Kluyveromyces lactis: one gene and its partners. The protein of the gene in region 3 interacts with the protein of the main gene of each other region in a biochemical or structural test. Links are inferred from orthologs where the notes say so. Each region holds a gene or a part of one and is shown on either strand. Other genes may lie near its edges.

The links. The genes of interacting proteins can lie anywhere in the genome.
Region 1: the proteins of MIA40 (region 3) and TIM13 form a complex in vitro, tested with the Saccharomyces cerevisiae proteins (2 studies listed by BioGRID). The link is inferred for Kluyveromyces lactis from reciprocal best matches to the Saccharomyces cerevisiae genes MIA40 and TIM13.
Region 2: the proteins of MIA40 (region 3) and ERV1 form a complex in vitro, tested with the Saccharomyces cerevisiae proteins (9 studies listed by BioGRID, with this or other methods). The link is inferred for Kluyveromyces lactis from reciprocal best matches to the Saccharomyces cerevisiae genes MIA40 and ERV1.

The regions. Positions count from the first base shown.
Region 1 is NC_006042.1:1,403,642-1,411,205, reverse strand, and holds TIM13 (protein translocase subunit TIM13), read right to left. Parts: upstream 2,917-7,564; coding exon 2,611-2,916; downstream 1-2,610. Other genes in the region: E3 ubiquitin-protein ligase UBR1, read left to right, coding at 1-750; QCR9 (ubiquinol--cytochrome-c reductase subunit 9), read left to right, coding at 1,145-1,213, 1,713-1,919; APS3 (Aps3p), read left to right, coding at 3,770-3,791, 3,867-4,408; CBP4 (Cbp4p), read right to left, coding at 4,735-5,166; ERG1 (squalene monooxygenase), read right to left, coding at 5,746-7,248.
Region 2 is NC_006038.1:537,776-545,548, forward strand, and holds ERV1 (flavin-linked sulfhydryl oxidase), read right to left. Parts: upstream 3,312-7,773; coding exon 3,229-3,311; intron 3,143-3,228; coding exon 2,611-3,142; downstream 1-2,610. Other genes in the region: VRP1 (Vrp1p), read left to right, coding at 764-2,533; protein-degrading AAA family ATPase MSP1, read right to left, coding at 3,633-4,715; SGD1 (Sgd1p), read left to right, coding at 5,244-7,773. UniProt on the Saccharomyces cerevisiae protein: FAD-dependent sulfhydryl oxidase that catalyzes disulfide bond formation. Required for the import and folding of small cysteine-containing proteins in the mitochondrial intermembrane space (IMS).
Region 3 is NC_006040.1:225,492-233,866, forward strand, and holds MIA40 (Mia40p), read left to right. Parts: upstream 1-4,074; coding exon 4,075-5,295; downstream 5,296-8,375. Other genes in the region: CYB2 (L-lactate dehydrogenase (cytochrome)), read right to left, coding at 1-1,760; palmitoyltransferase YKT6, read right to left, coding at 3,073-3,675; mRNA splicing protein SPP382, read right to left, coding at 5,672-7,675; protein kinase regulatory subunit ATG17, read left to right, coding at 7,890-8,375. UniProt on the Saccharomyces cerevisiae protein: Required for the import and folding of small cysteine-containing proteins (small Tim) in the mitochondrial intermembrane space (IMS). Forms a redox cycle with ERV1 that involves a disulfide relay system.

The DNA.
Region 1 (7,564 bases), on a different chromosome or scaffold from region 3:
TTGTTTTTAATTCCTAATATCAGTCAAGTGTGCCTCTATTTAAGTAGACCGGACTGTACCGTCAACATTTCGGCCCCTTATTTGAACTCACACGGTGAATCAGGAAGAAACGCTATCGAACGAGGTGATCTAACAGTATTAAATCATGCTAGATATGAACATTTAACTCGTCTTTGGATTTCAAATGGTATCCCCGGTTATATCAGCCGAGTAATGGGGGACGAATTCAGGGTTGCGATGGCAAATAACCGAACATTTACGAGGAACATGTTTTGGAGACCTGGTGCTGCTTTCAACGCTGGTGGGGAGAGCAGTGACGAGGACCTTATGAACGATGATGAGTTTGGGAATGATGATCGTCCAGATCTAAGGTTTAGACAGCCTGATGTTGAATTACGCATCAATGGTGGACCATTCGGTGGAGATATCCCTATAAGATTACCAACCGAAAGAGGTGACATACATGATTTTTTCGAGTTTGTTCAAAACATGAGAGGGGGTATGCAAGGTGATGGCGCAGACATTCCGACTACAGAAGATATCATTGAACAACTGCAAGGAAATGCAATGAATGGATTCTTCGGCCGTGCAGATAGAAATAGAGAGCACTTTGAACTGAATGATCAAAGTGACGGCAATGAAGATGGTGAGGACGAAGAGCACGAAAACAACGCTTCGGAAGATCAAGACACGGAATACAGTTCTGCAGAAGAAGGTTTTGATTTCAACGAGTTAAATAACGTAGAATGAATAACTTTTTGCTCGTCACACCTCAAAATTGCCTTAACCTTATGGCACCATTCACAACTTCAATGTACCAAATATATATAGAATAGCACGTTATTTCGTTTATGCACACATCGATATAAGATATTTTTACTAGTTTTGCATAAATCTGCAATATGTGGAGTGGACTGACCACAGGATACTATGCCGTCCAATATCTTACAGAATCTTTTATTGTAGCCTGACTCTGTCCCACCCTTTGATAATTCATGTTGAAAGTACTCCCAGTACTAGACTTTTGCACGTGATTACTTCTGGATATCATACCATACGACCCAATTATATCCGAGTACGGAACTTTTCTTCAAATTTTTGAAAAACTGGATAAATGTATAAAACGGAAAGCTAACTTCGACTGATGCCAAAGACAAGGTTTAATAAGAAAAAGTTCAGCTCAACAGAAACCAGAACTCCCGTTTTAGAAATGGTATGTTAATGATTTGATTAGTCATGGATAATACATATGATATGCGTCTTTTCTGGATCTGAAAACATTGATTTTGGCGTAGATGTCTTATTTGACTTCTGGAATTGAGAAACCGAAAACTGGGAACTGAAAAAACTGTTTGTAAACACGATGCAAATTACATTGAGCAGATGCTAATGTACAATTATACTATTATTAGTGAAATATACTTCCAAAGCTGAATGTCTGCATATCCCGTGGTGTTTCCGATGCCTGTTAAGGTTCCCTGGAGGTATGACCGATATCTCCATATAATAGAAAGGCAGTCTCAATACTACATTTATCTTCGAAGTACGACCATGGCTTATCGCATGTATATCAGTTACATCAAACAAGTGAAGAATGGACACCTTCTGGGCAAAATCCAGCGGCTGTTTTCCCAGATCATTGCGGATTGACTACATGAAATATTAGATCATATTACTAACAATTATTTTTCTGAACAACTTAATTATCACAGTCTTTCGCCTCTACTCTGTACAAAACTGTCTTTAAGAGAAACTCTGTTTTCGTTGGTACCGTGTTCGCCTCTGCCTTCGTTTTCCAAGCTGCCTTCGATACTGGTGTGACCTCTTGGTACGAAAACCACAACAAAGGTAAGTTATGGAAAGATATCAAGGGTGGTATCATGAACGGTGGTGAAGAAGATGAAGAAGACGATGAATAAGTTTCTTTTGACATTTGAATTATATCATTTCTCATCATTATACTTTTAAGTGTCTTTTCATTGATGCTTTTGTTCAATTATTTTACTTCTTAGAATATACCGTCACTTCAAAACATATTTTAAAAATGTGGATACGCTACTGTCGGGAAACATTTATCTATCCGGCACTCCATACGTCTACCAGGCCTAGGACATCAACTTTGGAATGATGTTCTCAGATTTTCATAACATTCATCCTTTTCGCTATCGGAATCTCACTCGATTCAAGAGATAAAAAGGGTAAAACATATATGACCATAAAGCGTGAATATCTGCGCATTGATGTTCATCTTATTTGTTGTTAGCTGTTTTTCCCTCTACTCCTATTTATTTTCAACTCACTTATTTGAAATCTCATCAATCAATCACATATGCGGCTCAATTGTATTTAAATACAATGTATTGTTTGTGCTGTTTCTGTGTATTAATCATGTCTATACGATAATAAAAAAGAATTACCCATTATTTGTGTACCAATACCGTACTTTTGTTTATATATATATACCTGAATTTATTCGACGGGTATGAAATAGCATTCATAATGTATGATTATACGTAAGACGCGAATATAACATTATACAAATCTATATACATGTAGCTTGTAATGAATCAGAGCATTAAATAACTTCTTTTATCTCAAAAGTTGCGCCCCTTAGATTTCACCGTTAACCGAAGCTTGCTGAATTCTGTTAATGTAAGCCTTTGAAATGGCATTCCAACTTCTCATATATTTAGCCAAACATTGGTCGACGCAGTTATCTTGAGAAGCAGCATATGGAGCATTCAGACATTTCTCAAAACAGTTCTCAGTGACTTTGTTAACTAACTCGGTAGCATTGGCGATGGCTAATTCTTGAGAGATTTGAGATTTAAGTTGGGTCTTGACATCGCTAGGACTGGATGTGGCTGGGGTACCAGATGATGAAGAGCTACCACCAAAGATCGAAGTTAAAGCCATATCTTAATGTGTTCTATGATAGATTATTGATCCGATGCAATGTTCAGAGGGGCCTGGATGATAGATTATAGCTGTTAATTGTAGATTGCCAATGGATATTTCAGTTTATGCTAAAGCTTCAAATCATTAGTTTTTTTTTTCAATATGAGGAAGAAACATTCCTTCACATCGAGCAGCAATGGAAGGGATAGATAACTATTGTTTCAGCCCGTTTCACAACCTCTCCTTTCCTGCGATTTACCGCGTTATTGGAAGATATGTTTGGAAGTTCCCCAGAGTGATTTACTTACTAATATGAACCACTGTCCAAGTACTTGTCACACGGAGCATATATGTAGTCGCATGATTATCATTACGTTACTGTACCCCAAACTTAGTACAACAGACATCAACAAATACTAGGCATCGGTGGTTTAGTGGTAAAATCCAACGTTGCCATCGTTGGGCCCCGGGTTCGATTCCCGGCCGATGCATTCTTTTTCATTATTCAATAATTTATTGAGCACTCAATTTTTTTATCAAGCGTTGCTACCTATTTCATAAACTGAATCCACTATAGCATTTCGATTCATTCAATGCAAATTCAATAGTATCGGTAAGGTTTCACTAACGGCTCTCGATGTGTTTCTTACTCGTTTTCTTTTATTGTACAGAAAACCCATCTTTACAATTCTCAGCATGAATCCAACATTTGAAAATCGAAAGTGCCAATTCAATTGAAATAAGTTAAAATGATGATGAGAAGTTACAAGTATATTTTGCGAAGAATAGTAGATAGATATCATTGAACAAGGTAGTTCAATAACTTGCCTTTGATAACAGACAAGCACAGACCAATTGGCAACGGCCAGTCATGATTCATGCAGTATTAATATGTATGTAAAGTGTTACCAAGCAATACCCTAGAAATCAAGCTTTACTAACATTTAATGATGATCCAAATGCAACAGTTAACAAGAAATGTCAACCAAGATTGATAAAATTTTATACACCTGTAGAGGTTGAAAAGCAAACGCTTTTATTACAGCAAGTATATGAACTTATATCTCAGCGTAACAGTCAGGTGCAGTCATCTTTCTTAGTAACTCCTCCATCTTTATTAATGGACTCAGGTGATAACGAAGATATTCAAATCATATACAAGAACTACGCCACGTTATACTTCACATTTATAGTTGATGAACAAGAATCAGAACTAGCAATCTTAGATTTGATTCAAACGTTTGTAGAGGCATTGGATAAATGTTTCGAAGAAGTGAATGAGCTAGACTTAATCTTCAATTGGCAAACATTGGAAAGTGTACTTGAAGAGATTATCCAAGGTGGATTGGTGATAGAGACCAATGTAAGGAAAATCGTAAGTGCTGTAGATGAATTGAATAACGCTAATGAAAGTGAAAATTCTTTCACCAAACTAGCAGGGAATCGAATCTCTGAGGCGTTCCAGGCGTTCAGTTATTCAAATTTCAGTGCTTGGGGGTCACATCAATGATAAATCAGAAAATAACCCCGCTATCTTAACGCCAATGTCATATTAATGTTGATAGGCCTTGCAGCATAATAGTTAATAGTGGATTATAATAATATCATATGAATAAATAAAGTCGAAACTCATGGAAAAATTATATACACTCCATTGATTTCGAAAACAACGATAAATAATATCTACAGGCGGTTAGTAAAGTAACTTTCAGATAACCGATTCATCAACGTGGATGGATTGGTTTCCGCCATAAAGTTTGAGGAAAAAATAATGCAAATTGAGCTCTAAACTCGGTTTCGAGAGAAATCCGATATCGAAACGTAGAATACCAGCATTTACCACAGACTCCACCAGCTCTTTTTGGAAACGATCATATCTGTTTGGTCCAGACTCTCCATTCTAATCTTATCCAATTCCTGTCTGATCCGTTCCAACTCTTCCTTCTGAACTTGATCTGCCTTCAATCTTTGGAACTGGTCCTTAGTGGCTTGAGTTCCATTTCTTTCCCATGGTGAATCGACCGTTCCTGTTTTCCAAATAGGATCTTTACTCTTCATGGTTTGCTGTACAACTTTCATTAGTTCTTGCTGCTCAGCTTGACGTAGATTCCTCTCTCTCTCATACTGTAGCCTCAACTCCGGTGATAATGCTTGAAGGAGTTGCTCATCGGTTGGTGTTGTATATTTGAATAAAAGCACACCAGTTAATATAATACTGCCTCCTGCAGCGAAAACTTTACCCCAGCGTAAAAAACCCGAAGACTCCATGCTAAAAAATAAATAAACGTGATAAATGCAACGCTTCACTGGTGTGATACGGCTCTTAACTGTCTCATCAAGAGTGTAAACTCAGCGTTGCTCCACATCTCTGTCTACTTTTAAAGGTTAGCTCCGTTATAATTACTTTTTCCAGAGGCTTTAGCCATAAGCTAATATGTGCGGGTAACAACTAACATATATATACAAATAATCACCGTTAGTGGTTTGAAGAAGCGCAACGTAGGACAGCTTTGTCGAGAGAACATGGATTAGTACAGCCCATGAAGGAGTCTGTAGGCGGATAGAACAAGCGAGATTATTACGGTAAAAAACTACAGGTGGTGTGGCCCAGGAGTTGCTTACTACACACATGTATATATTAAAATTGAATAAGTTAGTATCCTCAACATCTCTGTCAGATGCGTTCATCACATGTATAGATAAAAGCGAAGGCAAAAAAAAGTCATTATGAGAGAATGTAGGATCAAATAATCTGAAGCTACTTTTTTACTCTCAGAAGTCTATTATTATCATTAGTTTATATTTCTATCTTTGAATTTCTTTGGCGGATGGATTTCAGCAACCACATTAACCTATCAATTCTTTGAACAAGTAAGGAGTAAACACTTTTGCAGCTGTAAATAGGATAGCAAATGCCTCTAATAATGCCAGAGGGGATCCCAAAATGCCTCTTTCTTGGAAGTTAACATATATGGAGTACAATGCCACTGAGAAAAACACCTTGGTCAACAAGAACGGTTTTGGAAGAACACCAGCCAAGAAACTTACTGGCAATCTAATACAGTCTCCACCTCTTTCGAAATATTTGAAACAACCTCTTTGTAATACTTGTAAGTTTCTGTTGTCTGCAGCAAACAATGAGTATAAAGCGATGGATAGTACATTGATGACACTGTCATATTGCTTTCTTTCGAAATGGTATTCTAGTAATTCATCAAGGACAGTCTCTCTGTCTGAGAAATCTAAATCACCAACAGTCTTGATTAGTAGAGCAACGTCGTTCAAGCCAACAGCCATCCCACCACCAGTCAAAGGATGTCTCATATTCAAGGCATCTCCGATGACGCATAATCCGGTGACAGTATTTTGCTTTGCTGGTAGGTAAGAGTTTGGCATTGATCTGAATTTACCATCTTCAACCGCTTTATCAAACGATGGCAACAAAGATTTAGGTAAGTATGGTTTAACATCAGTAGTCAACCACGACTTTATATCTTTAGGTAGTCTTGCTGAATTGTATGCACATAGAATTCTTGTTTCTTCAGAGGAGATTTGATATACGAGCACGGGCATATGTGAAGTACCTAGAATAACATGACCATGGTTCTTCGATGGAATGTTTGCATGGAACAAAGACATACCGACGAAAGAGGATCCAACAGAGGGGATATGATCTGGGGAGAGCTCTTTTCTAAAGCGAGAAAAGATACCATCACATACAAAAGTCAAATGTGCTTTGAAGTCTTCTTTACCACGACCTGGGATTTCGACCTTAGCACCAACTACTTCGTTTTCTTTGCTTCTCAAGATCTCAATGACATTACCTTGGAGGCGGGTCACATTTGGTTCTTTGGCAACAATATCTCTTAAATTCTGTAAGAACTTACCGTGAACGAAACCAACACCTCTTTCCCTGTCGTCATCTTCGAAATCCTTGACATGAACGGTTTTATCTTCAATAACTCTATCATTACCATCGAAGACTAAATCCGATATTTTCTCTACTGGTGCTGTATCGGCCTTGTAAGGGTATGGGATTGAAACTTTCTCACCATTGTAGAACACAGAGTAGCCAGTCACTGGGATAGCATCAATATTATTGATGGCTTGAATCATACCGAGGCTTCTCAATGCCCGCAAACCACCAGGTTGCATTAGTTCACCAACAATACGATCTGGCATAGTCCAATCTCTTTCAACAATCAACACTTTCTTACCCTTTCTTGCAAGTCCTGTTGCAATACATGGACCTACGACACCACATCCAACGACAATGGCATCATAGACAATTTCTGAGCTAGCACTAAGGAGCTCCTTAGGAATAGCTTTAACGTCAACAGAATCACTCATAGCGTTTTGAATATAAACAGGCGCTCTTTGTCCCGTTTAGAATATGACCAATATTGAGCCGTTCGCAACCTTTAGTTGATGCTGGTAACAATTGACAAGTCCAATAAATAAATAAAATCACAATCGAATGGTACGAGTAAGGTATCAAATGAATTCAAAATACCTAGCCCTTATATTTATACAACTGAAAGCGAAAAGCGATAATCACTGTATATGTATTCTCAATTCCTAGTTTTCTCTTTCTGGAACGAGCACTCACGAATATCCGTCAAGCTGCACAAATCGTTTATTGATAATCCTCTGTAACAACAGCAGA
Region 2 (7,773 bases), on a different chromosome or scaffold from region 3:
CTATGAGGACGGATTCCATTAGCTAAGTTAAAAGAACGACGACAGAAAATGCATTACTTCGCGTTAGGACACCTGTCACTAACAAAACAAAGAATTGACAACGTATTACATCTTGCTGTGGAATATATTAGCTCAATTTTTAATCCAATCCCCGATGGTGGTGGTACTAGCTATAGATAGTGTACATGATATATAGATTTCAGTACCTTCTTCACATAGTAAGTTGTTAAGATGCTTGATCGCCTTTGAAAACTTTTTTAAGACAAGGTCCAATACCAAAATGTTACCCGAATATATTATATTGGTAAATTATTCGTATAGGGCTGGTAACTGGGAATGGCACTCCACTAAAACGATGTTCCTCATTTAGTTACTACATGCCGATGCTACCGCGAAATCATGAAGAGGTCCAGTGAACTTCGTACTGTAGTAGTATCATAGAATCGTCTTGCATTGCCGTATTCTTCTTGATTATTGATTTAGCACCGAACTGAAAGTGTAGTGTCTGGGTGGAAAGTGTAGTGTCCGGGTATCCTTGAGGCTTCCAGATATCAATTAGCTATTTAAAAATGAAAGAAACGTCAAATCAGAGAGAAACAAACTGTTGCAGTGCATAGGGGTCCACTGCGTTTAAGGTAGTTATTCGAAAAGAATCATAGCGATACCAATTGACCAGTGTGTTTCCGCTAAAAGTTCTATAAGACTTAAGGATTTGAGCATACTTTGTTATAGATAACTTGCTGAACATAGAAATTAGAATAATATGGCTGGTCCACCTCCACCACCAGCACCTCCTCCGCCTATGTTTGGCGGAAATTCATCCAATGCTGGCTCCGCTGCAACTCCTGTCCCACCCCCAGCGGCTGTTCCAGGACGTGATGCCTTATTGAGTGATATTAGGAAAGGTGCAAAACTTAAGAAAGCACACACTGTGGATAAGAGTGCACCTGCGATTGGAGGATCAAGTTCGATGAGCCACTCTGTATCAGTATCGAGCTCAGCAGTCCCGCCTGTAGCACCATCGATCCCGACTCCAACTCAGCTTCCCGGTGTCCCTCAATTGGGAGATATACTTGCTGGTGGGATCCCTAAATTAAAACATGTTTCGGGTTCCTCTAAATCACCAGCTATTCCATCTGGAGCTCCTCCGCTTCCGGATAGCTCTTCAATCCCAAAAATTCCTTCTAATAGACCACAGCGTAAAAAGACTTTGAGAAGTGAGGGTGATTCGTCAGTGGCGGCTCCTCCTGCTCCTCCTCCAATGGCAGCACCGGCAATTCCAACAAGTCCGCCACCAGTACCCATGATGAACACACCACCGGTTCCGAAACATCCTCCAGCAAGACAACGCACAGAAGCACCTCCGGTTCAAGCACAACCTGCTCCGCCTGTAACGTTACCACCTGCACCTCCAGCTCCTCCTATAGCCGTGCCACCAGCTCCGGCACCTCCAGTACCTCTAGCACCTCCCACAATTAGCACCCCTCCTGCGGCCCCACCAGCACCTCCTACGCCTGCACCTCCTACATCTGCACCTCCAGCTCCAGCACCTCCAGCACCTCCCATAATCAGTACCCCTCCTGCAGCCCCACCTGCACCTCCAAGCATATCATTCCCAACGTCCACGCCGCAACCACCACCATCTGCACCGTCCCCAGCTGGAGGACTTCCATTCCTGGCGGAGATTCAACGAAAGAGAGATGACAGATTCGTAGTTGAAGGAACAGGACATGGTGCGTCGAATAATACAGCATCTTCCGCTCCAAAGGTACCGCTTCCCTCATCATCTGCTCCTCCGGCTCCTCCTTCGTTCAGTGCTCCTTCGGTTCCACCAACTCCAGCTCCTGCTGCTCCACCTTCAATTGCTGCTCCTCCGGCCCCACCGGCTCCTGCACCTCCTGCACCTCCTGCCCCTCCTGCCCCTCCGGCCCCACCTACTCCTTCCTTTAATGCACCTACGCTGCCTCAATCTACCCCAAGTTCTGAAGCACCATCTATTCCAGCCGGAGGATTACCATTTCTGGCATCAATACAAAGCAGAAGGGATGATTCTCACATTATCGAAAGTGAGAATAGTCATACACCAGTGGGTGCGCCAACGGCTCCTCCTTCCCCTCCTCCACAAGCCGCTTCATTTCCCTCTGCCAAAGCTCCACCACCTCCACCCGCAGCCTCAGAGGAATCTCTTCAACAAAATCAGCAACCTCAAGTGGAACGCACAAATAGTTCCTCATCAAAAGGTTTCTTCAAACACAGACTTTTTTCATCTGGTAATGAAGCCAGTCGACCATCTCAATCTACTAACCCTTACACAAATGCTGCTGAAATAGATGTCGGAGATTTCACAATAGAAGGAAGTCAAGATACGACCGGAATAAAGCTGAATAACAGTGGAATAACCATTGATGATTCAAAATTCGATTGGTCTAACAGAAACGATCTCCCCAAACCGAGACAATTCTTGGGCTTAAGAAAACTATATCCAAGTGGCAGAGGTTCAAGTGTTCCATTAGATTTTACTGTATTTACATGACTTTATAATGAGTAAGAACTATATAAGATATTAATGAAAGCATTCCTAGACGAGTGGAAGAGGAAGAAGTATAACACTTAATCCCACCCATCTACCCACCTTTTCTTCCACAAATCGCAGTTGAATTTCTCCTTTCCCAATTTCTCATTAACTTCATTATGTGCCGCACAAATCCATCTACCTAAGTCGTCTTTTGAATCAACCTTGGGTGCGTTCTCTTTTATAAATAGTTCAAAGTCCTTAGCACACCACCCGCATGGATAAACATGAGAGAATATGGTCATAAATTGTTTCATTTCTTGTTTCTGTGTGTCCGATGGCTTATTCGGATACTTGGCAGCTATCGTATGTAACAAAGTCCAAGAAGAACGGCCTAGCTCTTCGACATCAGCAGGCCCAGACTTAGAGTATGTCTTAGATCCAGGAATCAACAGTGGCTGGTCAGCTGAAGTATTTGAAATATCTGTCGCGGCCCCAGCTGCTAATTCACCGGAGCCAGGAGACTGAGTGGAATCCGCCACTGGTGAAGCAGAAGAATTGCCGCTTCCCCGAGCCTTCAAAGTGCCGGTCACAAATTGAAAGTCCAACAAAGTATTGCATGAACGACAGCTAGATTGATAGTACATAAACGTTAGTAAAAGTTTTCTGAAATTCGATTATTTCGTTTCTCGATATTAGGGTTGCAAAATACGAACGGTTTTCCATCTTCATCGTAGATGATTTTTCTTCCAGACAGTCCAAATTCTGGTGTTTTAGAAGTTTCAGTACGGCTTGACATGATTCATGCAGGTTGGTTGGAAAGATTTGGTCGTATGCTTGCATCTTTATGAATTCTATTCTCTAAATTTGTAAGCATTCGAGAGATGCATTGAAATCGAAATCTTTAAATTCAGATCAAATTTATGAAGCGATGAGATAGAAGATAACATTGGATGATAACAAAGAAAAATTTCAGTACATGTATGAGATTACAGCTATAACCCTTCTTGAAAATGTATGACTCTATTTACAAACTGAAGTGGATGATACCACAAATATACCAGGTATATTACTTACTTGATGAGATAAGAGTAAGTATATAACTATTCTTTCTTATGAATCAATCTAATGCAGCTCTAGAAAATGTTGCACCAGCGTCGATTTTGAGATTTTTCAAGAAGTCTTCATTTGTTAGGGGCCTCATTTTGAGGCGACTTAGATTGTCTGTCTTTCCAGTTTCTGTCAGCTTGCGTTTCTCTTTGATATATTCTCTTGCTGCAGTAAGTGCAGCATCTCTGCATAGTTCTTTTAAATCGGATCCTGACATCTGAGATGTGCATTGTACAATGTAATCCAAATCGAAATCGCGAGGGTCTGACTTTGTATCCTTCAAAAACACTTTTAGTATTTTATGACGTTGTTGTGCGTTAGGCAATGCAACAGGGAATCTTTTAGGTAATCTTCTTAGGAATGCAGAATCGATATCATTGATCCTATTCGTGGCTCCAAGTACCATAACCTTCCCATTGGAGGTAAGACCATCCCAAAGAGTCATAAACTCGGCTTTCAACATAGATGTCACCTCATGATCTGATGAAGCACGCTGTCTTAAGAAGGAGTCAATTTCATCGATGAAAATGATACATGGTTGAATCTTGTTAGCCAAAGAAAACATGGCATCAACGATCTTATTGGATTCACCGTACCATTTGTCCATTATAGAAGACATTCTGATAGATATAAAATTGGCTCCACTTTCGTGTGCTAGTGCTTTTGCTATCATAGTCTTACCACATCCTGGTGGTCCATACAAAAGAACACCCTTTGGCGCCTCCAATAATGCACTTTCGGAGAAAATTTCCGGACTTGTTAGAGGGTAAATGACACTTTCTGTAAGTTCCTCGATAACGTCTTCTAACCCACCAATATCTTCAAAAGAAACATCGATATCTTGAGGCGTAATGACAGAAGCAAGTACGCTACGCTCGTATGCATTCAAACTGACATCATCCAATTCGGGGTTGGCAGCACATAATCTTTGCCATACTAACGATTGTCTCTCCTTCTTTTCTTTCGAGTTACCTGATAAAGGACCTCCTTCAGCCTCTGTTAGTAGTCTATTCACCAAATAGTACACTGAAATTGCAGTTCCGAAGAGAACAGATAAATCGGTAATGGTCTTTAAGTCAATTCTTGGAGCCATTTTTCCTGTAATGTAGCAAGAATGATAAAATCAGTTTTTTCCCTGGTTAATGAATGGCTTCTTATCAGAGAGCTTCTGTATATCAAACGTATTCTCCAATGGATGTAATCGCTGTTCGGTCTCGCCGTGTGACGTTGCCACTTGTTACTTGCAAGTTCAATCACTGTATGTGTTCGATTGTGTTGATTCTTTAATTTCGCAAATAGTTCAAAAAGAAACCTTTAAAAAATGTGGAACTTGAAAAATTTAGACCATGCGATGAGCTTCATGTATGTTTATTGAACAAAACCGCTATCAGCTGGGTTGGATTGGGTTACCAAGGCTTCTTTGTTCCGAAATTTACCAGTTTGATTGAAGACTGCAGCTGATATTCTCGAAAAATCATCATATTTACTTATCCTAGCTCTGTTGCTATCATTGTCAAAATAGTCCAGGGCCAATTCGAAGAGATCGTAACTAATTATTTTACTCCGAGCTCTCTTACTAGATTAGAGCAAACGTCAATTGTTGGGACAACACATTCGAGCTATGAGTAAGAAACATGCTATCAGATTACCGGGAGTGTTGTTGGATGAGCTCAAGGGTCAAAATTATGATGAAGAGGATAAGAGATATCAGTTTCCTAACGTGAAGAAAGTCCAACGCAATGGTAAAAGAAAAGCTCCTTTGAGCAGAAAAGAACAGAGAAGACAAGAACGTGAGAGTAAGAAAATAAAGAGGTCTGGAAATAATATTCAGAAAACGTCTACTTCATTGAATGTTGAATCAGCAAAGAAAGATAGACAAAATGGTTCTACAGCCGTAAAATCATCTCTTAAGAGAGAAAAAGTAAAACTTGGGATTCAAGTCAAGCCAAAACAAGTCAGATTCTCCGAGTTCAATGAGGTGAAAGAGATTTCGTCTGATGATGAGTTATCAAGTGGTGATTTCGATGATTTCGATGAAGACGATCTGAATGAAGAAGAATGGGAACAACTACGTGAATTAGAAGACAGCGACGAAGAAGAAGAGGATGACGGCGGTGACGACGATGACGATGACGATGACGATTACGATGAAGAAGTAGAAGAAGAAGAAGAAGAACCTCTTACGGCTAGAGAAACTATGGCGAAACTCAAAGCTTTAAAGGAAAAAAAGCGACAAGTGAACCCATCTGGAAGTGAAATGGCAGTTGATGATGCCCAAAATTCATCTGAAGATGATGAAATACTTAATGAAGAATACTCAGCCGATGATATGGATGATGATGAAGAGTGCGACAGTGGTTTGGAAGAAATGAGTGTAGAAGAAACAATGGCAGCTTTGAAGGCAATGAAAGATAAAAAGTTACAAGCCAAGTCTTCCAAATCTACCACCACTGGTACTGTAGAGAAAGGCTCTAATAAGAATAACAAAGAGTCTGGAAAGAAAGAACAGTCTAAATCAAAGTCTGAGATTTACAGTCCATTAACACCAGAGGACAGAGCAGCGATTGAAAGAGATGAACTGGATATGAAATATTATGCTGGCAAGTTGGGCTTGAAAAACGGTAAAAAATTGCGTGCCACAGATGAATACGATGCTATTGGAGGTTTACTAGAGGGTCTTGAGTATTTTGAAGACTTTGGAGATGATGAAAGTGGAGAGGAAAATGTAGAAGATGATAGCAATGTCTCAGACGATGGTGAAGATGAACTAATATCGGAAGATGATGAAGATGAAGATGAACAAACGGAAGAGGGACAAATCGAAAACCCATTTTCGTCTGATGATGAGTTATCAAGTGGAGACTTTGATGAATTCGACGAAGACGACTTGGATGAAGATGAATGGCAACAACTTCATGAATTAGAGGGGAACGCTCCATCATCTACACGCACGAAGCAAAAGGAGAACATTTACGCCGCCCCAGTCATCGAAGAGAATAAATCTTACGTACCACCATCCTTGAGAAGAAAACAACTTGAGGAATCTGACTCGGAGACTAACAAGGAATTGAAAAGAAAAGTTAAATCAGCTCTGAATAAACTATCAGATTCAAACAGTGCTATAATTGTTACCTCCTTGAACGAGCTCTATGATAACTATGCAAGACAATACGTCAATGATGCGATTAACAATCAGATGATCGAGGTTGTTGCACAGAAGAATAAATTATTGGACACTTTTATCATGAATTATGCTGGTGTAGCTTTCAGTATATGGAAGCTAAGGGGAACTGAAGCCGGTGCTTCCTTTATTCAAGCATTGGTCCAGAAATTCTTAGAGATTTATAGTGAACAGATACAGTCGGCTAGAAATTCAAAATCAGACGAGCCAATAATGCTGTCTAAGGAAACGACTAATTTGCTGACTTTGCTGGGCTATTCCTACAACTTCGGGCTAGTTTCCAGCAGACTGATATATGATATCATCAAGCTATTAATTCAAGAACCCAATGAATATACAACCGAACTTCTGTTAAGGATCATCTCTGTTTGCGGCCCTTTGATACGTGGTGATGATCCCAGAGCTCTAAAGGATATAATCACGGAACTATTGGCCAACGTTAAACAGATGAAGCAAACTCCAAGGCTAAACTTTTTGTTGGAAACTCTGTCCGATTTAAAGAATAACAGGTTAAAGCCTTCAGTTCTTGCTGCCAATCATCAGACTTTAAAAAAGGGAATTTTGGGATCACTTCGCATCTCAACTTCGGCATCTTCGGAGCCTTTGCTGGCTTCTCTAGAAGATATAAAAAACGTGGATTCTAAAGGTAAGTGGTGGTTAATTGGAGCATCATGGAAGGGTAATCAAGAAACTGCTTTCGATGAGGCTAATGTCAAAGAAGACAGAACGATTGCTAATCAAACAAATATAAAATTGGATGATGATTTACTCTCTGAAATGATTGATTGGAATGAGATAGCGAAACAACAGAGGATGAACACTGATGTGAGAAGAGCTATATTCGTTAGCATAATGTCTGCAGAGGATTATTTGGATGCATTCGCTAAGATAGAAAAGCTGAACTTGAAGAGTAAACAGAGTCTTGATATTTCACGGGTGCTGCTACATTGCTTGTCAAACGATGGCACAT
Region 3 (8,375 bases):
AAGAATTGAGTTGGTTCATGTGGGACATATACCTCACGGTATAGGTTATCGCGAGGAACATTGACAGTTCTACCATGGATTGTAGATAGATCTAGGTATTTTTCGGATAATTGGTCTATACTTGTGACACCGAGTAATCTCATCGACATTTCCAATTCGTCCTTTAATAGCTCAATGGCTTTCTTGACACCTTCTTTACCGTAGCAACTGTTAGAGTATAAGAATGGTCTACCTAGACCGACACCCTTGGCACCAAGACACAATGCCTTTAGGATATCGGTACCTCTTCTAACACCACCATCAATGAAAATTTCGATTTTATCATCCAATTTCTTTTCTCTTAGCACTGGCATAGTCTCAGCCAACACTTCGATAGGAGCCCTAGAGAAATCCAATTGTCTACCACCGTGGTTAGATAGAACGACACCTGCAACACCGATTTCAGCAGCTTTCAAGACATCTTCAACACATTGAACACCCTTGATGACGATTGGCAATTTGGTCTTTTTCTTAAATTCGATGATATCATCCCAGTTTAATGCAGGATCAATGAATGACGAGAGAGCTCTAGAAGCACCCTTAGATTCCTTAACCTTACTTTTTTCCATAGCCTTGGCACCGTTTGAGTTTGTAAATTTGACTTTAGCATCTTTTTCTCTGTTACCTAAGGAAGGAGCATCTACTGTAACGAAAATGGCCTTTAATCCTAATTTTTCAACGTTCTTGATTAGATCTTCAGTGATCTTACGGTCACTGTTCACATACAATTGGAACCATTGGATTTGTTCCTTAGATGGGGCTGCTTCCACGATTTCTTGTAAAGAACAAGAAGCCAAAGTGGAAATCATTTGAACAGGTTTCACGTCACTTTCACCGCAACCTCTTGCGATGTCCTTTTCACCTTCCTTGGGGTTACCTAGTTTACACAATGCGGTGGCAGACACATAAAATGGAACACCGACTTTTTCACCTAACATTGTAGTGGAAGTGTCAACTTCCTTAACGTTAACCAAGATTCTTGGCTTGAAGAATATACGATGGTATGCAGCGTGGTTTTCTCTATGTGTAACTTCATCATCAGCGGCAGAAGAGTAGTAAGACCAAGCTTGCTTAGTCAAGATTTGGGATGCCAAGAATTCGAAATCATAGATGTTAACCAAGGAATCAATATCGGGTAAAGATTGACGCAATTGTTCCTTTCTTGCCACATCTTCGGGAGTTTCACCTGGGGTCAATGCAGCACAGACCAAGTCATCAGGCATTGTACCATCTAGTGGACCAATTCTGTTCTCTGGAGCAATGTATTTTTCGATGACATCTGGAGCATGAATTGGAGCAAAGATCTTGGTCACATCTTTTCCTGCGTTGTTCTCAATGATAGCTGGACCACCAGGATGGGCGCTGATGAAATCAGTCAAATTGTATACGTAACCCTCAATGACCACCCAACAGTCTTTGGGAGAAGAGTGCTTTGCGACTTCTGTTGGAGAAACCTTTGGTTTCGTCATATCGACCTTGGCACCATTTTCAACGCTATCATTGAATTGAGAAATCAATGCAATACCAACCGAACCGGCAACAAGAAAGGCACCACCAGTGATGACTTTCTTACCGAACGAAAACGCACTATAGCCAGACTTAGCTGATCTCCCAAAACGCAGAGTAGCACTAGACTTATGAATTGGAGATTTACTACTGGTGCTAGCAAATCTCAACCCACTAACACGGTTCTTACCAAAAACTCTTACGGCTGATCTCATAGTAATGACGATGTTGATACCTAGGGGCTTTGTTTTCTGATTAAAGATTATACCAAACAAATTTAACCTCAACCGCACTATAACCAATTCCCAACTGCGACATAGCTCTACTTATATATATATATATATATATATATATGTTATCTATTGTCTATTACATCTGCATTAAACTCGAACTAGTCATTTTCGTCAACAGCAAATATCGGGCCAACTCTTCGCAAACTCCAGAAATGAATGCCTCTTTCTCTAGTGTGGGATAAAACGCTAAACAGTTTCCACATTCGTGGGTCACATTGAGTTGGAACAAGCGGATCTTCGGATTACCAAGGACGCTTGATCAGTAACAGTACCCCAAGGCTATTTTCATTGACGCACTGGACGTCAACCATACTGTAATTGGTATATATTTGGAATTATATCGGTATAAAAATTGCACGCAACCCACGCGCAATGAGGGAACCCCATTCTCATTCGGCTTTCTGGATGTTCTCTATGGGTCCTGTATTCCCTCAATGTAGGCAAAATTCACTACGCAGTTGCCAGCCGAACAGTTGGAGATCTAAGGTCAGATGGGTCAACAAACCTGCAATAGCGTAGGGAGTCGTAGCAGACGGTAGATAGAACAGTGAAGTGTTCCATAGCTTGACATAGAACACGGAAAACGGTAAAAAGGACGTCTCGAGAGGTTTGCGCATGCATAACGGCATTTTGAACTGAAAAAAAAATTGTAGCGTGGGGAGAAAGCAGACAGGGTGGGTCGGAGAACAGGAAACAGGGCCCGAACTATACCATCGATACGCTAACGATGAGCTTGAGAAAAGCGAGATTCGGAGTGACTTTTGGAGCTGCTGTTTACCTCCTGTATATTATGTGTTTGGGGGGGATAACGCTGTGAGTAAGTACTCCGAATTTAACAGGCAGATAACGTAATATCAGGTGAGCAGGCAATGGTCGGTCTTGGACCTTATGGTATCTTGGACAAAAGACAGCGTCCAGCAAGTAGACTCCGTGGCCAAGCTGGTTAAGGCGTGCGACTGTTAATCGCAAGATCGAGAGTTCAATCCTCTCCGGGGTCGTTTTTTTTGGAGAAAATTTCTTTCAAAATTGATCCGCTGCCCGTACTCAGCCAGATGATGATAGATAAATCAGACCCTAGTGGACAGGAAGGAACGAAAGGCTGATCAAAGGTGGCGGTCAAAACGCCGGTGAAACCTTACTATTACTTTATTTTGATTACTATTATGCTTAATACTCGTAGCAAGGGCTATATATGATCAGGCTGGCCATGTTTTGGCCTCTATTTCAAATCCGTCTACATAACTATACAGCACGAATTGGTTTTCTTTGCTTGCTTATAGAACATCCTCGATGCAGCAGATAGTGATTCGGACTTGTCTACCAAATTGTCCAATTTCTCACCTCTTTGTAATACGTTTTCAATGGTTTTGTGTAGCGTGATCTTGGTCTCGTCTAATTCTTGCTGTACACGCATTATTGCATCAGCTTGAGATGGGTCCTGATACTTGGCAATATAGATATCCAACTCCTTCAACTTGAGCGAATCGTCACTCTCCGTCACGTCCTTCCACTGGATAGGAGGGTGCGCTACCAAATACTCATCCAATACTTTGTTCAACAACGTATAAGCTGGTCTTACTGGGTACTCCTTATCCGTAATCAAAACACCACAAATTCCTTCAGGCCTTGCGTAAACGTGACCTACATAGTTACCTTCTTCAACACTCTGTCTTTGACCAGCACTTGTCCTGCCAGCAACAGTCTCACTGAAAAAGGACATGAACTGTGCAACACTGTTCCTTTCAAAGAACCCAAATTGTGATAAGTCCTTCACAGAACTTAATTCAAGGGTCTTATCATCGCTGTTTCTTAAAACTCCAATGTAATATATCTTCATCCTTGTATCCTGTATCCTGTTTTCTCCCACTTGTCAAATGAGAAAAAAAGCTACTATTTTGCCCAAACTTAACTATTCTTAGATCCCCTATACGTGTACTATAACACTGTCCTTCTCGTCTCCGTGTTATCTTCAAAATACATCATCATTTCCCATCCTCATATCACAATGCTTCAATATCCATTTTGTTTGATATTCGAATTTTTCTTTTTTTTGCTAACAAAGGCATTTTCAATTTGTCAAAGGAACATTTAAAAGAGAAGCTGATTGATACCCACAACGGGAGGAAAGAAATTTGCTTTTAGTTAGGTTTGGTATTTTTACAGTACACTTAGAAAACGTTTGAAAGTTGCTGACGAGTCAATTGATTATAGGCATATACATATTTTTTTGAAGACAATGTTCCGTGTTTCTTTACAAGCTACTAGACGTGTTGCTTTTAGATCCGCTAGACAAATTAGGTTTTACAGTGCTCATCCACCTTCCGGTGGAGTGAGCCATATGAACAAGCCAGCATTGTTGTTGGCTGGGTTCAGTACTCTTGGTGCCATCTACGTTGCTGATGGGTGTCCTACTTTGATTGAGAGGAAGCCTGCTCCTGCTGAGAAGCCTGCTGAAGAGACTCCTGCAGCGGGCCAATCACAATCTATTTCTGAACCTACGAAGGATGCCGATGAATCTCCGGTGTCTGCTCAGGAGGAAGGTGCTGAGCCAGTTACTACTCCTGAGAACGAGATTACTTATAGCGAGGAGACACACCAGGCCTTAGCAGCCACCTTATCAGGAGATGAGCCAGCTGCCATTGAGCCAGTTGCTGAATCCGTCAATGAACAAGCTACCGAACCAGCTGCCAGTGGAGAAGCCACCAATGAACCTGTTACTGGCATTTCCGAGGATACCAAAGCTCCCTCTTTGAGCTTCGATGACTCAAAAACTGCCAAGGGTGTTGTTTTAGAAGATGAAGCTGACAAAAAGGAGATTCAACAAACAAGCCCAGATGCCGTAAAAACCGCCTCAAAAGACGGTTCAGAAGGTGAATCGGATGTTGTTTTGCATGAAAAATCTCCTGCTGAAGCTGAGACCATAACAGAAGCAGAAGAGCAAGCTGAAATTCGGTCTATCTCCGGTGGCACTGCTGAACAGTCCGCTACTGCGGCTGCTGCGGCTGCAGGTGTTCAAGGTGAAAAAAAAAACGAACAACAAACTGCATACAACCCAGAAACTGGTGAAATCAACTGGGATTGTCCTTGTTTAGGTGGTATGGCATACGGTCCTTGCGGTGAAGAGTTTAAGTCCGCTTTTTCATGTTTTGTCTACTCTGAAGCTGATCCAAAGGGTATCAACTGTGTTGAGAAGTTCTCCACTATGCAAAATTGTTTCAGAAAATACCCAGACTATTATGCTGAACAAATCAAGGATGAAGAAGAAGCTTCTGCAGAAGCTTCAAAAATCGAGGATAAGAGCACTACCCCGGTTTCAACTGCCACCTCTACTGTTGAAGTACAAACTGAAAATGCCGTTTTCGAACCTGTCTTGGAAAAATATGTGGAAGAAAACCCTCAACTAAAGGATACTCCTGAAGCTGCCGCTGTCACGAACACTGACGATGAAAAGAAATAGAATCTTCCCGACCCTGAACTGCTGCCGTTAAAGATACTTTTTTAAATTTGCCAATGAGCATCATGAATTCTGACGTTTGAACAAAGATAATAAAACTAAAGCTAAAGAAATTAAAAAAATTACGTGGTTCCCTTGTTTGTGTTATATCCAATTCAAATAAAAGCCCATGGCTCTCGTAATGAACTGACCTGTTCATCGAACTCGCCTTCTTTGTCCAATAAAAAAAAAATTAACATACATTCTTATTACATTCTACAATTCCATTCGACATAATGGCAATGTGAAAACGAACAAAAATCCAATGAAATGTTCTGATAGCGTGTATAAACACTACATAAAGACATTTTCCTAATGATATGCCATGCTTATTCTGTTTTCAAATTAGATCCAGTAATTGGTAGAGAAAAATTGGCTCAAATCTTGATTCTGTTCTGTTTCTCCTTTGTAACCATAAAATATCTCCCATAAGGACTACATTTACTCTTTTATTGTTATATTTACTCACAGTGAATACCGGAGCTACCTTCTCTTTGCCAAATATATTAATTGAGGCAGTATCATTATCAGTTTTTCTGAAGGATAATCCATGATCATGACAAAAAGTTTCTACAACAGTTTTAAAGGTGGTAGAAATTTTGGTCATGGGTGTATTGTTAAAAGCGTTGAACCTGGATTCCGACTGGCCAGTGCTTTCAATTAAACTTTTCAAGGAAAGCCGTTCGTCATGGTCCGAAAGTGTTGACGGATGATCGACAAAGTCAAGAAGTTTCTTCACTTCTTCTACATTATCTAATGAAGATGCAGTGTAAATTCTATTAATCATGTATTTTAGCCATGAAGAAGCTTCATAACGGAAGGTGCTGCTCTTAAACACAAACCATTGGAATAAGGTCTTTAATAGCGAGTTGTTAATGACCTTATATACTTTATTCCTGGTTGGCAAATCGAAGAAATCATTATATTCTTTCAACACATCAATAATAGCTGAAATGTAAATTTCATTCTCTGCATCGGTAAATTCGTCAATCAGGTGAAAGTGTGAATCGAAGTAATCAGCGAAAGATGAAAGCCAATACCTGTTGACTAATTCATAAAACTTGGAGTCACCCACTGCCTCCTTCAAGAGAATAACGTTTTGAGGGTTAACAGTCATTGAAGGTTCCCAATTTTTCAAAAACTGCTCGAACTCCAGCAGGATAAGTGCTTTTAATGACTTTAAATCCCTTTCTCCCAAAATGAGATGCAACTCGCCGTATGTCACCATGAATTCATCTGACAGAAATTGAGGAGAAAGTTGTATTTCGAGAGCCGGCATAATGTAGCGGGAAAGGAAGTGTTCCCTGCAGCTAATAAAGTCAATAATAGGTAAATACTGAACGGTTATTTGACGTAGCATCCTCGAATATCCGGTATTTGAATCTAACCAATAACATAAGGGTTGATACACCAACCTATAAATGCTGCTTTGTGTTTCGTTCAAAATATATCCAGATTCCATTCTATATGAAAGAAACCTTATTGCTGCCCTCAAATGGTTCAACTTTTCGACCTGCATATCTGCCGTATTAATTCCACGATTAAGCTCTTTGAGCAAGAACATGGTACAGAGCTTATCAAGTATGTCATCGTCATTTATTTCTAGGCATTCAGTAATCTGATCTTCAAGACTTGGTTGCGAAAGTTGTTTTTCCTTGACTTTTTCTAAAACACTTTGTAGCCTTTCCTCTTGGTGTACTTTGCGCTCGTCATCTAGTTGAGCTTTTTCCAAGCCAACTTGTATTCTATCTATGTCCGAATGAAGCTGCAGAAGCTTATTAGCAATTTCATTCAAAGAGGAAATCTCTTCTTCATGTAATTCAGAACCATTGATTGTTCTTGTCACCGTATCAGGTAGTTCTATTTTTAATTCCGCAAGGAGACTTATATTTTGAATCAATTTCTCAAGCTGGGTGGCACGACGAGTCTTAAACTCCACTGTTTTCTTTTTATTTGAACTTTCATCTGATGATGCTGAAGTATTACTATAGTTGGAGTCATCTCTATCATGTACTGCACTTAACATCCCTAATCCGACACCTTTAGGACGAGTGACTGTTTCGATTGGGTTCACTATACCTTTCCCATCTCGTCCTAAACCTTCACCTTGTTTGTAACCCATTTTTGATAAAAGCTTGGCACCCATACCATAGGTCTTTAACATCTGGTCGCTTTTCAATCCATCATTGGAGTTGGCTTGTCGTACCGGTTCATAGTCTTCTTCTTCTTTTTGTTCTTCATTGTCATCGCTATATCCATATGGATCGGTAAATACCATACTATTCATTGTCATACTGATCTTTCTTCTTTTGAACTGATCATCGTCACTGATATGTTCTGACATCTATACTGAATCACTGGAGTAGTAATAGCTGACTTGGAGTGACTGATACTCCTTTCAATCTTTACTCCGATTAATAGGTATTTATTCATACTTTGAAAAGATTTAAAGGTTTGAAGTTCAGTCTTCGAAGTGAAATTGACCGTTTAAGGGTTTCAAATTGGAAACGTTGAAGAGATGAAGATCTTTCGGTTGATCTGAACTGCGTCTACAAGAAATGAGTGATGCTGCAACTACTATACCCAGTGATGAGATAGATAAATTGTGGAATAAGGCGAGAAACCAGCTTGTGGAAGCTCAAGTCGAATGTGAAGAATCATTAAAAATCCTCTCTAAAGTGCGAACTGAAATGGACAGCTCTCAAAAGTCCAGATTTAAACTTAAATTTATACTTAATTGTTTGGTGAACCAGGTTGAGTTCTTCAAGAATATCATGCTCGAGAAATGTATTTCTACAGAGTTGATTGACAATGAATGGTCAAAGCTGGTTTTAGTCGAGATAGTCAATGACGTGAGTTATTGGCAAAACGAGATAACAACAAAGATGAAGATCTTGCAGGGTACAAAATACGACTTGACTGACGATCACAGTAGCCTTTCAGATTTCATATGCATGGATCACGTAGACATACTACAACAAAAAATCGATGAGATTCCTATTATAAAACAACAAGTGACAAACATACGACAACACTACAAATCG